Linked DNA regions of Saccharomyces cerevisiae S288C. Changing the gene in region 1 together with any one later gene gives a genetic interaction. Each region holds a gene or a part of one and is shown on either strand. Other genes may lie near its edges.

The links.
Region 2: mutations in YMR084W (region 1) and CUP9 together harm fitness more than expected from each alone (negative genetic interaction), as found in Saccharomyces cerevisiae (one large-scale study listed by BioGRID).
Region 3: mutations in YMR084W (region 1) and AQY3 together harm fitness more than expected from each alone (negative genetic interaction), as found in Saccharomyces cerevisiae (one large-scale study listed by BioGRID).
Region 4: mutations in YMR084W (region 1) and YCL042W together harm fitness more than expected from each alone (negative genetic interaction), as found in Saccharomyces cerevisiae (one large-scale study listed by BioGRID).

The regions. Positions count from the first base shown.
Region 1 is NC_001145.3:434,899-437,990, reverse strand, and holds YMR084W (putative glutamine--fructose-6-phosphate transaminase), read right to left. Parts: upstream 1,364-3,092; coding exon 575-1,363; downstream 1-574. Other genes in the region: YMR085W (uncharacterized protein), read right to left, coding at 1-500; alcohol dehydrogenase ADH3, read right to left, coding at 2,076-3,092. UniProt on the Saccharomyces cerevisiae protein: Involved in amino sugar synthesis (formation of chitin, supplies the amino sugars of asparagine-linked oligosaccharides of glycoproteins).
Region 2 is NC_001148.4:212,538-215,942, reverse strand, and holds CUP9 (Cup9p), read left to right. Parts: upstream 1-1,980; coding exon 1,981-2,901; downstream 2,902-3,405. Other genes in the region: nuclear cap-binding protein subunit CBC2, read right to left, coding at 3,159-3,405. UniProt on the Saccharomyces cerevisiae protein: Probable DNA-binding protein which plays a role in protecting yeast cells against copper toxicity. May regulate the expression of important copper homeostatic genes.
Region 3 is NC_001138.5:20,342-24,373, forward strand, and holds AQY3 (Aqy3p), read right to left. Parts: upstream 2,447-4,032; coding exon 506-2,446; downstream 1-505. Other genes in the region: DAK2 (dihydroxyacetone kinase), read left to right, coding at 3,082-4,032. UniProt on the Saccharomyces cerevisiae protein: Channel protein that mediates glycerol entry under ethanol stimulation. Does not seem to mediate glycerol uptake under standard conditions.
Region 4 is NC_001135.5:48,678-51,517, reverse strand, and holds YCL042W (uncharacterized protein), read right to left. Parts: upstream 935-2,840; coding exon 575-934; downstream 1-574. Other genes in the region: GLK1 (glucokinase), read right to left, coding at 1-680; protein disulfide isomerase PDI1, read left to right, coding at 1,297-2,840.

The DNA.
Region 1 (3,092 bases):
GAAACAAATATGCAAACATCGTTCCTGAAAATGCAACAATTGCGGTCAACAAAATCCAAGGCCAATTCAACGTTTACTGGAACTTCCATTAACTCCTCAAAGATGGGACGGGCAGCTAGGCATGAATGGAAGGAGGCCTTGGATGCAATCATTATTATTCGTTTTGCTCTTCTCAATTCTGTCAACCAATTTTCTAGTCCTCCCAAAACTACTCTGTTTGTAAAGGCGTCAACTCTTCCTCTCATGACATTTTTTGTTGTTTCACACTGCTCGTATATTTCCTTTTGCATAAAATTATCGTAAGGGCCTTTTTTGATTTTGGACAACTCCAATTCTAATTTTTGAACTGTTCTAAATGAAAAGTCCTCGGAACCAATTTTAGAACAATGGATATGAAGCTCCCCATCATAGATATGGGCAATATCATTATCCTCCAAATATACTACTTTACTCACATACCGCGCTAGTGATGCACAATCGGATGACAAATAGAATTCCATGGGTCGCGGCAAGCCGTTCTCGGCTGGCGTTTCTGTGGATGAGCCATGATTGAATGTAGAAGTTGTAGAGTTTCTCAGGTATTGTGAACGAAGGGGGGTGACTTCCTTAAACAAGTGTTATATTTTACAGGTGCGGCAGCCAAGACATTACCAGAACTCTTGGTTTGAGTATTAAGCTTCAAGTAGTCTTCTTCTTGATCCAAATATTCCACCTCGACAAAGTTTACGTCCATGTCAGTTTTACCTTTAACACCAATAACTAACGGGGAACCCTTTCTTGCGGCAACCACTTCATCGGGAAAATGAGAAGAAGTGCATAGCAGACCATAAGAGCCTTCCAATTCTTTAAGTACTAAATTTGTTAATACATGGAAATCGAGGTTGTACCCGAGTTCAATGCTTGTATCATAAATGTGTTTGTACAGTTTAGGAATACATTCGGTATCAGTGTCACTTTTGAACACATAGCCCTTTGCCATCAATAAGGCTTTCAAATTAGCGAAGTTGGTAATAACCCCGTTGTGTACCACAACAAATTCATTAGATGGATCTGAGTTATGTGGATGACAATTTGCACGTCTTAGCCCTCCATGTGTTGCCCGCCTAGTATGGGCAATGCCACAATGCGAAATAAAGGGCAGGTTCTTATTAAGATTGTAAAGGTCGATTTCTTCCTTCAAACTGCTTATTTTACCGGTTTGCTTATAAATATTGAGAGACTCCAGCTCATCACCTTGGATCGAAATTCCACTGGAGTCATATTCCTTGTACTCCAATGCCTGTAACCCTTCGATTAAAGTGTCGATGATTTCTCCTCTTGTCTTCTCAATTAAAAAATTGCAATAGCCAAAAATGCCACACATTCTTCTTCTTATATTGGGTTTTTAATCTAGTTTATTGGATCATCTTTTGAAAGTCTTTTTTACAAATTCCTTTTGTTTTATAATTTAATTATAAATGTTCAAAGACGTTTCTGAATTGTAAATATAATTCAGGGGACGGCATCAGTTTGATTCCATACACTACGTGCTAGTCTAGCCCAGCATGACTAAAACGAAAAGGGGCGCCTTTAAAAATGAGGAAGAAATCCAAATCCTAATGACCTTCAAGCGCATTTTTGGGGCTGATGTTTTAGTTCGAATGTCTCCTATTGTTAAAAGAAAGACTGCCTCTTACCTGCTTTGAGAGAGGCTGATTATTAAGAACACAGGACCCTTAAATCGGCGGCTTGTGAAATTTCTCCGAATTAAAATTCTGGATGTTCAAGAAAAATATTCTCTTCGGCCCTTTTATCGTGAGAGTAATATCGAAGTGTGCAAGGAAAAATCAAAAACGTGAAAAAACTTATACGGTTAGGTTTGGGCGGCTCGATGCTTGATGGTGATAATGTCTCTCAAACGTTCTATGTGTCGACGGAAGCCAAATTTGGGCTATTTCCATTATCACTACTTGATATAGAAAAAATACTGGTACTGCTTCTTGATTTAGTGATTAATCTTTGCTCCACTATATATTTATAAACCTCATCATTATAAACAAAGACTTTCATAAAAAGTTTGGGTGCGTAACACGCTATTATTTACTAGTATCGACGACGTATCTACCCAAAATCTTGCCCTTTTCCATCAAGTCATAAACCTTTGGTAATTCAGATAATCCAACAATTTTGATTGGTGATTTGATCAAACCTCTGCTAAAGAAGTCTAAGGCTTCTCTCGTATCAGCTCTGTTACCAACATAAGAACCCTTGATATTGATGGACTTCACCACATGAGAGAATACCTCTGATTTAACGTAGGCGTTAGCGGGCAAACCAACCAAAACGACGGTACCACATGGTCTAACATATTCCGTAGATAGAGAAATAGCGGCTTCAGAAACGGAAACGTTAATGACACCATGAGGGCCACCTTTGGTAGCTTCTTGAATGTCAGAAACCATATTCTTTGTTTTAGTAAAGTCGATGAATACTTCACCCCCCAATTTCTTGAAAAGTTTTTCCTTTTCCTCACCTGCATCAATACCTAGAACTCTGTAACCCATCGCAGTTGCATATTGAACGGCCAAGGAACCCAAGCCACCTGCAGCACCAGAGATGGCAACCCAGTCACCAGCTTTCAAGTCTGCCTCTTTTAGTGCTTTATATACAGTAACACCAGCACATAATATTGGGGCTACTTCGGCCAAGTCGGTACCCTGTTGAATTTTGGCGGCTTGAATAGCATCAGCGGTCGCAAATTGTTGGAAAGAACCATCATGAGTGTAACCAGATAAATCAGCATCTGGACAATTTGATTCATGACCTGATTCACAGAATTCGCATGTCATACAAGAACCGTTCAGCCATTTGATACCTGCTAAATCACCGACTTTCCAGCCCTTGACATTGGAACCTAGTTTGACAACTACACCAGCACCTTCATGACCACCTACTAATGGTAGTTTAACAGGTAATGGCCAATCGCCGTGCCAAGCATGTAAATCGGTGTGACATACACCAGAATATTTAACGTTGATTAAAATTTCATTTGGCTTAGGCTCGGGGACAGGGATATCTTTGTAATGCAGCTTCCCCTTATTCTCATAAAAGAT
Region 2 (3,405 bases), on another chromosome or scaffold:
CCTATGACTTGTAGATTTCTTGCCTAGGAAGACTAAATACGTTTAATTCTAAGATTAGGAGCCCATGCATTTAAAGTTGCTTTTTGCCTGTGCGGGACAATTTTATTAGTCAGTATGGACATCTCCGCGGGGAATTTTTTTATCGGCAGAGCTGTTTAGACAAAGGATATAGATAGTATAAGGTGTTAGTACACACATTTCAACATAGTTATATTAGGAAGATTGCCACAAATTTCCTCTTTTTTTTTTTTTTCTTGTTTTTATTACACCTCCGCCCCTTGAATACCTTAGAGGTTAAGAAGTGAAATGCCAAGAGAAAGCCTAATAGGACACACAGTATTTACCACGGGAAAAGCGCGGGATATTTGAATCAGCTGGAGATTATTATGTACGCCATGTATATTTTTAGAGACGGCTTGTAACGGGTGCCAAGATATTCCATATTTTTATGTCTCAAAAAGGAAGAAAAGAGCTACGAGCACGTGCAAATATATGAACTTCAACACCTGTAGAAACTCGATAGTGAATAAATCAATCACAGTGCTTTCCTTGAAATAAGCTTCTGTCTGAACTTTAACAGTGATTTTTTTTTTATAGAACAGGCCTTTTCATCTGCAGAGATATGTCTAGTCTCGTAGGTTTTGACTCGTAACTTTGACTTCTGCATCTGGATCGTCAAAGCAACCCATACTTGACTTGATTACATTAGCATCAAAGAAAATCGTGCCAACGCCTTTTAGTCATGTCGAACGGTAGAGGAGGAGAAAGAGGGAGCTATCAAATTTAAAATTCGCAAACAAGCTGTTGAGAGCGACATAATAGCAATATTGTCGGGCCCCTTAAACACGTTTCATTAGTGTTTTAAGTGCCAAGCCAATGTGTTAGTAAGCTTGTAAAGGAATGCACGTATTAGAAAGTGAGCAACTTAAAAGTGAGCAAATATGATTAAAGTAGTATGCCTCCGAAGCTCGTCTTGTACTGCAAACTAAGCACAGAATATGCCGCACAAATGTCGGTGCCTATTATACATATGCTTTTCGTTATGTGTCTTAACAGACCTGACCGTTAACGGCAACAGAGAAAAGGAGCACTACCGACGGCTTTTTGCTTCTGGCCTATTTAGTGCCTGAGAATTTTGTGCGTGTTTCCTAGTGTCCGGCGGGCTTGACCTAGTCCACACTTCCAACAAGCACAAGCAGCGTGCTTCCTCACACTGGCGAATGCACCCAGAGTCGGCGTTGCCCGAAGTAAGAACCCTACCGCTACTCTGGCGCAGGCGCAGAGGAGCCACAGCCCTTTAAGACGCAAAAAAAGTAAAGCGGCAAAAGAAAAAACTGTCACTTTCGGACCGTTGGGTTATCCACGGGGTTTTCTGAGCACTCATGATCGGTAGCGGTATATTTCTGATCTCGCTCATTTTCTGTCAAATCGTCCTGATAATGGACGAAGACTGTACGTAAAGGGCAATTTTAAGAGACACAAAAGAATCCCACGAGAATTACTACTGTTGATTTTTGTGATTGGCTAGATAAGAAACCTTATCCGCTCACGCGCGTATTACTTCCTTCTTCGGATTCAGATTTCTTTCTGTGGGAACGGGTCATTTCTGCCATCTTACGTCTCTCAGCTTTTCTCTTTTGTTGAACCTTAATTTATTCATGTACATCAAGCTGTAGTTTGTTTTTTTCTTTTGGTAATTAATTTTTGTCCTTTTGTTTTCTTACAGCGTGTATATATTAATGATTAATTTTCTATGACTGATTTCGTCGCGCCCGGCGTTTTCTTGTCTCTTAATGCCTCCTGTTTCTGTTAATTGGTAAGATTATGTTAAATTGGTCAAGATATATACTAATACAATTTTTTAGTTGATCTTCCCACCCTTGTTTTCAAGCGATACCACGCCTATCCAGTGCTACTGATCGCTACTTGCCGAGCCCCTACTTTTATGCTAACAACCTTCGAGAATAGTTACATTCGAAGATGAATTATAACTGCGAAATACAAAACAGGAACAGTAAGAATGTTGACAATCAAGTCAGTCTACCCCCTATCCAAGTTCTATTTAACTCCATAGAAAAACGGAGTATGCCCGAGTTGGCATTTTCGAACATAGAATACTCGCATGGGAACCTTCGGTCTAGTACCGAGGAACAAAACTATCCTGCGCCTGTGTTACTTCCACAGCATCATTCGATTGCGTATCCCGCAATTAATTCTGGCGGTACTAGTACTACTGCTACTCCTACTGCTTCTACAGTTGAAACGTCCAAGACGAGTAGCAGTGCTATGGATACACAATCTCAATATGGCAGTTCAAAGAAGTCAAAATCGGCGTCCGATGATGCAAAGCCCTGCTACAAATCCGCCCCAATATATGAAATAATCAATAAGGAAAAGGATGCGGGGGCACAATACAACAGGCCATTTTCGGATTTTGTAGAATCTAAATCAAGGAGGAAGCAAAATTCGGGCAGGAGGTCTAACCTGCCAAAGGAAACAGTGCAGATACTGAATACTTGGTTGCTGAACCACCTGAATAACCCCTACCCAACTCAACAAGAAAAGAGGGAGTTGTTAATCAAAACTGGGCTAACCAAGATTCAACTTTCTAATTGGTTCATAAATGTGAGAAGACGCAAAATATTTAGTGATTACTATACCCTGGTAAACTCAATTCCTAATGACAACGCGAATAATACCCCAGTGGAACGAGTTCAAAACGTCTCAGCATATCATAACACATTATCTGCCACAAATAATACTATGTACGATGCTACGTCAACCTGCTCCACGGATTATGAATTATCCAAGAGATTTGCTCATGCCCCCGTTACACGCCGTAAAAAACTAATTGATAGGCTGGAAGAATTGAAAAAGCTATCCAACCCTGATATGAATTGATCACTTATCAATGCATTACTTAAATATTCATATAATTATATCTATTACCATTTACATTTTATCGTTACTATATATAGTATTATCATGTCATTGAACGTGTTACGTCTATTATGTTACACTGATTTTTTTTTTTTTTTTTTACATAACAGCATCATGCAAGCCTTTAAAAATAATGTAGGTATGTATATATACAATAATATATATATATATATATATATCTGTGTGTAGAATCTTTCTCAGATATAAATTGATTGATTCTACTGAGGTACGTAGTTATCATCTTCTCTTTCTTCATCGAAACCTGGTCTGAAAGTACCCATTGCATCAGGAGGAGGGATATAATTATTCGTATTAGATTGTGAGCTACTGTTATCAAATCTGGAATGTGGTACGCCGACACGCTCTGCAAATGGAATGGCGAAGCCACCTCTGGATGCATCAAAATCGAACCTCAATTCATCGCTGACTTGACCACCGCTCTTACCACGACCAAACTGTCTTCCA
Region 3 (4,032 bases), on another chromosome or scaffold:
ACGTAACATCAAAAAACAACCGTTTACATATATATAATCACTTGTCTAAAATTGATTGAAATTGCATATGAGAAAATATATGATAATGACAATAATTTTCTTTGAGCACAATTAGTTTATTTGGCAACTTGCTCTTTATTATTAGTAAATATAGCACATATTCATATAAAACACATCTTCAGTGGGATTACCTAGTTGATGGTGCCAGGAATTTTCCTATCGTCAACGAGCTGAAAATTTTATTATTTTTATTAATAACATAATGTGAGACTCCTGGTTTGACATTTAATTTTACGTATTAGTCGAATTTTGTTCTTGCCTACAATAAAAAGACAATTAAGCCGCAGGCAGTCTCATTCTTTATTACAAAAACAAAACGATAGAATTTAGAGCACAAGTAAGAGATGGTAACAAAGTCACGGCTCCCGGATGTAGTATGTCGTCAAATAATAAGTTCGTGAAATTAATAATTAGGTTATAAATCGTAAAAAATTGAAAATATTAATTATGACGAAGTAGGCACAGATTTCTTGCTGCCAGTGTTGCTGTTGCTGTTAACACCAGATTCATCTGAGACAGTGCCATCATTCTGGTGGAACTCCGCATGTAAAAGTTTACCTACCCTATTCTCAATATAACCGTTGTCTGGGTAGTTGACTGGGGATTCGCATCCAGTAAAAATGAAAATGTCATATATGAGTGCTCCAGCAATACCGCCGGCAATTGGACCACCCCAGGCTCCCCATGTCCACCACCAATGTGTGAGATGAAAAGCATGTGGACCATAGCCAATCATGGAAGCAAATATGCGAGGACCGAGATCTCTTGCAGGATTGATTGTGAAACTTGTTTGATATCCAAGGGCCATACCAATTGCAGCGACTAAGAATCCAATAATTAATGCGGTCATACCATTGCCAGGTGGAGCATTACTATCATCCAATAGCGCCATCAAACAACCCACAAGTATAGAGGCTCCTATGAATTCGTCAAAGAAGGCATTTCTCCACGTGACGTAAGACTTTGGATCAGTAAACAAACACGCACCGGTCGCCGTTGTTCTTATGTGCGGACCTCCCTCAAATTCTGTGATAGAGCTCCAAAAATAACCATAAGCCATAGCTCCTCCAAAATATGCACCGATAATCTGAGCAACAATATATACGGGCACCTTTTTCCAGGGGAATTTTCGAAAAATTGCCATTGAAATCGTAACAGCAGGGTTAATATGACCACCACTAATACCGCCTGCGACGTAAACACCAAGCATACAACCGAACCCCCATGCAAATGATAGGGATTCATAGGAACCACCACTACCTTTTGTTACAGTTGCTTGAAGATTACCACCAACACCAAAAATGACAAGAACTAGTGTCCCGAGAAACTCCGCAAACGGTTCTCGCATATGATAGCGAATTTTTGCCCAAAAGTTAGGAAATGTCATTATATCCGCGTCTTCATCTTCTGAGGCACCAATTTCATTACCATCTAATGCACTCGTACTTTTATTTTCCTCTTCAATAAGTTCTTCAGGAAGCTTCGTATAAACCGGAGTAGAACCATCGAGGGTTTGCATGTTCTTTAATTTTCTGGATTCTGCATCGGCTATGGAGGATGCGTAGCTTTCATCGCCTAATGAAAAATTGACATTATGCGAAGTACGCTTTTTCTTACGTGAAACATTCTCAATATGCGTGTTAGAGGGCTTTTGTGGGTTTTCAGGCTCTAACTTAGTAGGTTTCACATCTGCACCAACAGTATTATCGCGTTGCGTTTGAGCTTCGATGTCACCAAGCTTTTTACCCGGTGCTGCACCTCTAAGGAGCCTTTTCCAGTCTTTCACTGACGTAGTAGAACCCCCCCTTGAAATATCGGTCGACCCTCGTCTCGATGATGCGCGGGACCTTGCATCCATATTCTTTTGTATCATCTTTGCTGCCAAGCCTCGATCCAATACATGCGGTAACGGCTGATTTAAACTCCAAACAGGCCTGTTCCTGCTACTACCCATAGTTGGATTTAATTGCCGATATAGTGGGTCTACATAATTATTACTGTTGCCTTGATTTACCCCCCTGGATAGATAATCTTGCATTATACGTGCTTGCTCAGCATCTGAAAAACTGTTTAAAGTCTTCAAATTAGGCAAAGAATAAGTAAAACCCATGGAAGGGACCTGTGGTTGTACCGAATCCTTCCTCTCGTCAACCACTTTTTTCAAGGGTGTCAAAGCAGAAAGTTTATTTCTCGATGATCCTCCAGTTTCAATTGCTTTTCGAGTCTCACCTAGCTTTCGCCTCAAGAGAGTGCTGTCATTTTCGTTATTTTCCCTAGATTTTTTGACACTTTCTTCCCAAGCTATTTTACCATTAGGTTCTTCTTTTAGCGTTGGTGGCCGTGTACTCTCGGAAGAGGAGGATGACCTCCCAGATTCGTAACTCATTACTTGGGTCTAGATCATATATCAGAGGAGCGTTATACTGTGCGATTATACGCTTCTTTTTATATGAATAAGGGGGAGACATGGTGAAAAGGTACCAGAACTTTTGATCGACCAAGACTAGGTAAAGCTCAAACAACGTTTATAACTCAAATTTCCGGGGTAAGTGGGGTACCGGAAAATTATGATATTCCGGAGCGGAGTTATCAACGGAGAAAACTAGGCCTTCTGATGGAACTTAATTTAAAAAATTAATCACAACCTATGCATATTATTCCCGCAGAGGGTGATTGTGAGTAAATCCCTGCACAGAAACAATTCCCGCCAGGCCATAACTAGATTCTAAATTATTTAACTCATAATTTCATGAAATCGTATCGTAGTACCAAATAGGGAGATATTGAGCCAAGTAAATTCTTACGTCACCATAGTTGGATAATTAAGTACTTGATATTGTATAAGGATCTCAACAATACGAGAAGGGGAAAATACCGCAATGTGTGATTGAATTTTCAAACTTTGGATCATTAAATATATATAAATGAACCCAGATCAGCCCTTTTTTTTTCTAGTATTGTCTGTAAAGTGTATTTTACCTCAAAATCTGACAAAACCCAACTACAATTGACTAAATAATCATGTCTCACAAACAATTCAAATCAGATGGAAACATCGTTACTCCCTACCTACTTGGCCTTGCTCGAAGCAATCCCGGCCTTACAGTGATTAAGCACGACAGAGTGGTTTTCCGGACTGCGTCAGCTCCTAATTCAGGGAACCCTCCTAAAGTTTCATTGGTTTCTGGAGGTGGCAGTGGTCATGAGCCAACGCATGCCGGTTTTGTTGGTGAAGGTGCCTTAGATGCGATTGCAGCAGGTGCCATTTTTGCTTCTCCTTCAACTAAACAGATCTATTCTGCTATTAAAGCTGTTGAATCTCCTAAGGGTACCTTGATCATTGTAAAAAATTACACCGGTGATATTATACATTTTGGTCTCGCTGCTGAAAGAGCTAAAGCTGCTGGAATGAAAGTCGAACTGGTTGCTGTAGGAGATGATGTCTCTGTCGGTAAGAAGAAAGGTTCTTTAGTCGGGCGTCGAGGTCTCGGAGCCACCGTATTGGTGCATAAAATTGCTGGGGCAGCCGCTTCTCATGGACTGGAGTTGGCAGAAGTTGCCGAAGTTGCTCAGTCAGTAGTTGACAATAGTGTCACAATTGCGGCATCTCTTGATCACTGCACGGTTCCTGGCCACAAACCTGAAGCCATTTTGGGCGAGAATGAGTATGAAATCGGTATGGGTATTCATAACGAGTCTGGTACCTATAAGTCTTCTCCGCTGCCATCGATTTCTGAGCTCGTTTCCCAGATGCTTCCTCTTCTTCTCGATGAGGATGAAGACCGTTCTTATGTGAAGTTTGAGCCCAAAGAGGACGTAGTTCTTATGGTTAACAACATGGGTGGTATGTCTAATCTAGAATTGGGTTATGCTGCAGAGGTCATTTCTGAACAATTGATTGATAAGTATCAAATTGTGCCCAAGAGAACGATTACTGGAGCATTCATTACTGCATTGAATGGTCCTGGGTTT
Region 4 (2,840 bases), on another chromosome or scaffold:
CAATGCGATAGGTACGTTCCGACGGTGTCGTTGGTTAATGCAACAACCTTGATCATAGGCATACCCTGAGCGCTTAATTGCTCCTGGTACAATTGCACGACATCCTTTCCGACGGTGTCCGCGATGCGGAAACCCTTGGTCCAACGGATCAATGTCCCGGAGTTTAGAGAGGTCTGGTCTACAGGGTATGAGAAAGTGAACCCCAGTTTCATGGGCTTGGCGTCTTTACCCTTGGCCAACTCGTCCGGGTGATACTTCTTCATAAAGGCCAGTGTACGACGTGCTAGAAACCCAAACAGGTCGTCAGATGTGACGTTCTCATCGTCTAGCAAATCATCGGGAATCTTGGACTTCATTTGCTCCATGGAGAAAGTATGATCTCCATGCAAGTTAACAGAACATATACGGAAATTGGTACCACCCAGGTCGGCGGCTAGTAAAACACCGCGCTCCGTCCCGTTGGGTGACCCGGTGACGAACGCCGGAATCATAGGAAGACCTTTGTCCGAGGCCAATGTGTGGCCTTCCTTTGGTGGAGCTAGACCTTTTTCCATTTGTTCGATGAAGTAAGCAGTTAATTCGTCCAGCTTCTCGGGGGTAACCTCGAAATCGTCGCAGATCTGGTCCACGGCCTGGATGACCGCTCTCTCAGTGGCTTTGTGTAAGTCGTCGAATGACATCTTGTGTATGATAGAGTTGTATTAGTGGTGGTGTTGTGGTTTACGGAAGCTGAGTTGGGCACTGATGGGGGGGTTGGGGGTTCTGTTGATAGCGGATATTTATATGGGCGCGTTTTCATTAGTGCCCACCGTTTGAGCGTGGTGTGACACCACGCCCAAGATAGGGGGCCCCCTGAAAGGGGTTGACCGTCCGTCGGCACACCACTTATAATGCGGGGTGCAAGCGCCGCGTCTAAAATTTTTTTTTTTTCCATTTTTGTCGTTATTGTTATTTCCCGTTTTTTGTTTTTTTTGATTTTTTCGGAGCGACAAACCTTTCGAAACACGTGTCCTGAAAATTATCCTGGGCTGCACGTGATAATATGTTACCCTGTCGGGCGGCGCCTCTTTTTCCCTTTTCTCTCACTAGTCTCTTTTTCCAATTTGCCACCGTGTAGCATTTTGTTGTGCTGTTACAACCACAACAAAACGAAAAACCCGTATGGACATACATATATATATATATATATATATATATTTTGTTACGCGTGCATTTTCTTGTTGCAAGCAGCATGTCTAATTGGTAATTTTAAAGCTGCCAAGCTCTACATAAAGAAAAACATACATCTATCCCGTTATGAAGTTTTCTGCTGGTGCCGTCCTGTCATGGTCCTCCCTGCTGCTCGCCTCCTCTGTTTTCGCCCAACAAGAGGCTGTGGCCCCTGAAGACTCCGCTGTCGTTAAGTTGGCCACCGACTCCTTCAATGAGTACATTCAGTCGCACGACTTGGTGCTTGCGGAGTTTTTTGCTCCATGGTGTGGCCACTGTAAGAACATGGCTCCTGAATACGTTAAAGCCGCCGAGACTTTAGTTGAGAAAAACATTACCTTGGCCCAGATCGACTGTACTGAAAACCAGGATCTGTGTATGGAACACAACATTCCAGGGTTCCCAAGCTTGAAGATTTTCAAAAACAGCGATGTTAACAACTCGATCGATTACGAGGGACCTAGAACTGCCGAGGCCATTGTCCAATTCATGATCAAGCAAAGCCAACCGGCTGTCGCCGTTGTTGCTGATCTACCAGCTTACCTTGCTAACGAGACTTTTGTCACTCCAGTTATCGTCCAATCCGGTAAGATTGACGCCGACTTCAACGCCACCTTTTACTCCATGGCCAACAAACACTTCAACGACTACGACTTTGTCTCCGCTGAAAACGCAGACGATGATTTCAAGCTTTCTATTTACTTGCCCTCCGCCATGGACGAGCCTGTAGTATACAACGGTAAGAAAGCCGATATCGCTGACGCTGATGTTTTTGAAAAATGGTTGCAAGTGGAAGCCTTGCCCTACTTTGGTGAAATCGACGGTTCCGTTTTCGCCCAATACGTCGAAAGCGGTTTGCCTTTGGGTTACTTATTCTACAATGACGAGGAAGAATTGGAAGAATACAAGCCTCTCTTTACCGAGTTGGCCAAAAAGAACAGAGGTCTAATGAACTTTGTTAGCATCGATGCCAGAAAATTCGGCAGACACGCCGGCAACTTGAACATGAAGGAACAATTCCCTCTATTTGCCATCCACGACATGACTGAAGACTTGAAGTACGGTTTGCCTCAACTCTCTGAAGAGGCGTTTGACGAATTGAGCGACAAGATCGTGTTGGAGTCTAAGGCTATTGAATCTTTGGTTAAGGACTTCTTGAAAGGTGATGCCTCCCCAATCGTGAAGTCCCAAGAGATCTTCGAGAACCAAGATTCCTCTGTCTTCCAATTGGTCGGTAAGAACCATGACGAAATCGTCAACGACCCAAAGAAGGACGTTCTTGTTTTGTACTATGCCCCATGGTGTGGTCACTGTAAGAGATTGGCCCCAACTTACCAAGAACTAGCTGATACCTACGCCAACGCCACATCCGACGTTTTGATTGCTAAACTAGACCACACTGAAAACGATGTCAGAGGCGTCGTAATTGAAGGTTACCCAACAATCGTCTTATACCCAGGTGGTAAGAAGTCCGAATCTGTTGTGTACCAAGGTTCAAGATCCTTGGACTCTTTATTCGACTTCATCAAGGAAAACGGTCACTTCGACGTCGACGGTAAGGCCTTGTACGAAGAAGCCCAGGAAAAAGCTGCTGAGGAAGCCGATGCTGACGCTGAATTGGCTGACGAAGA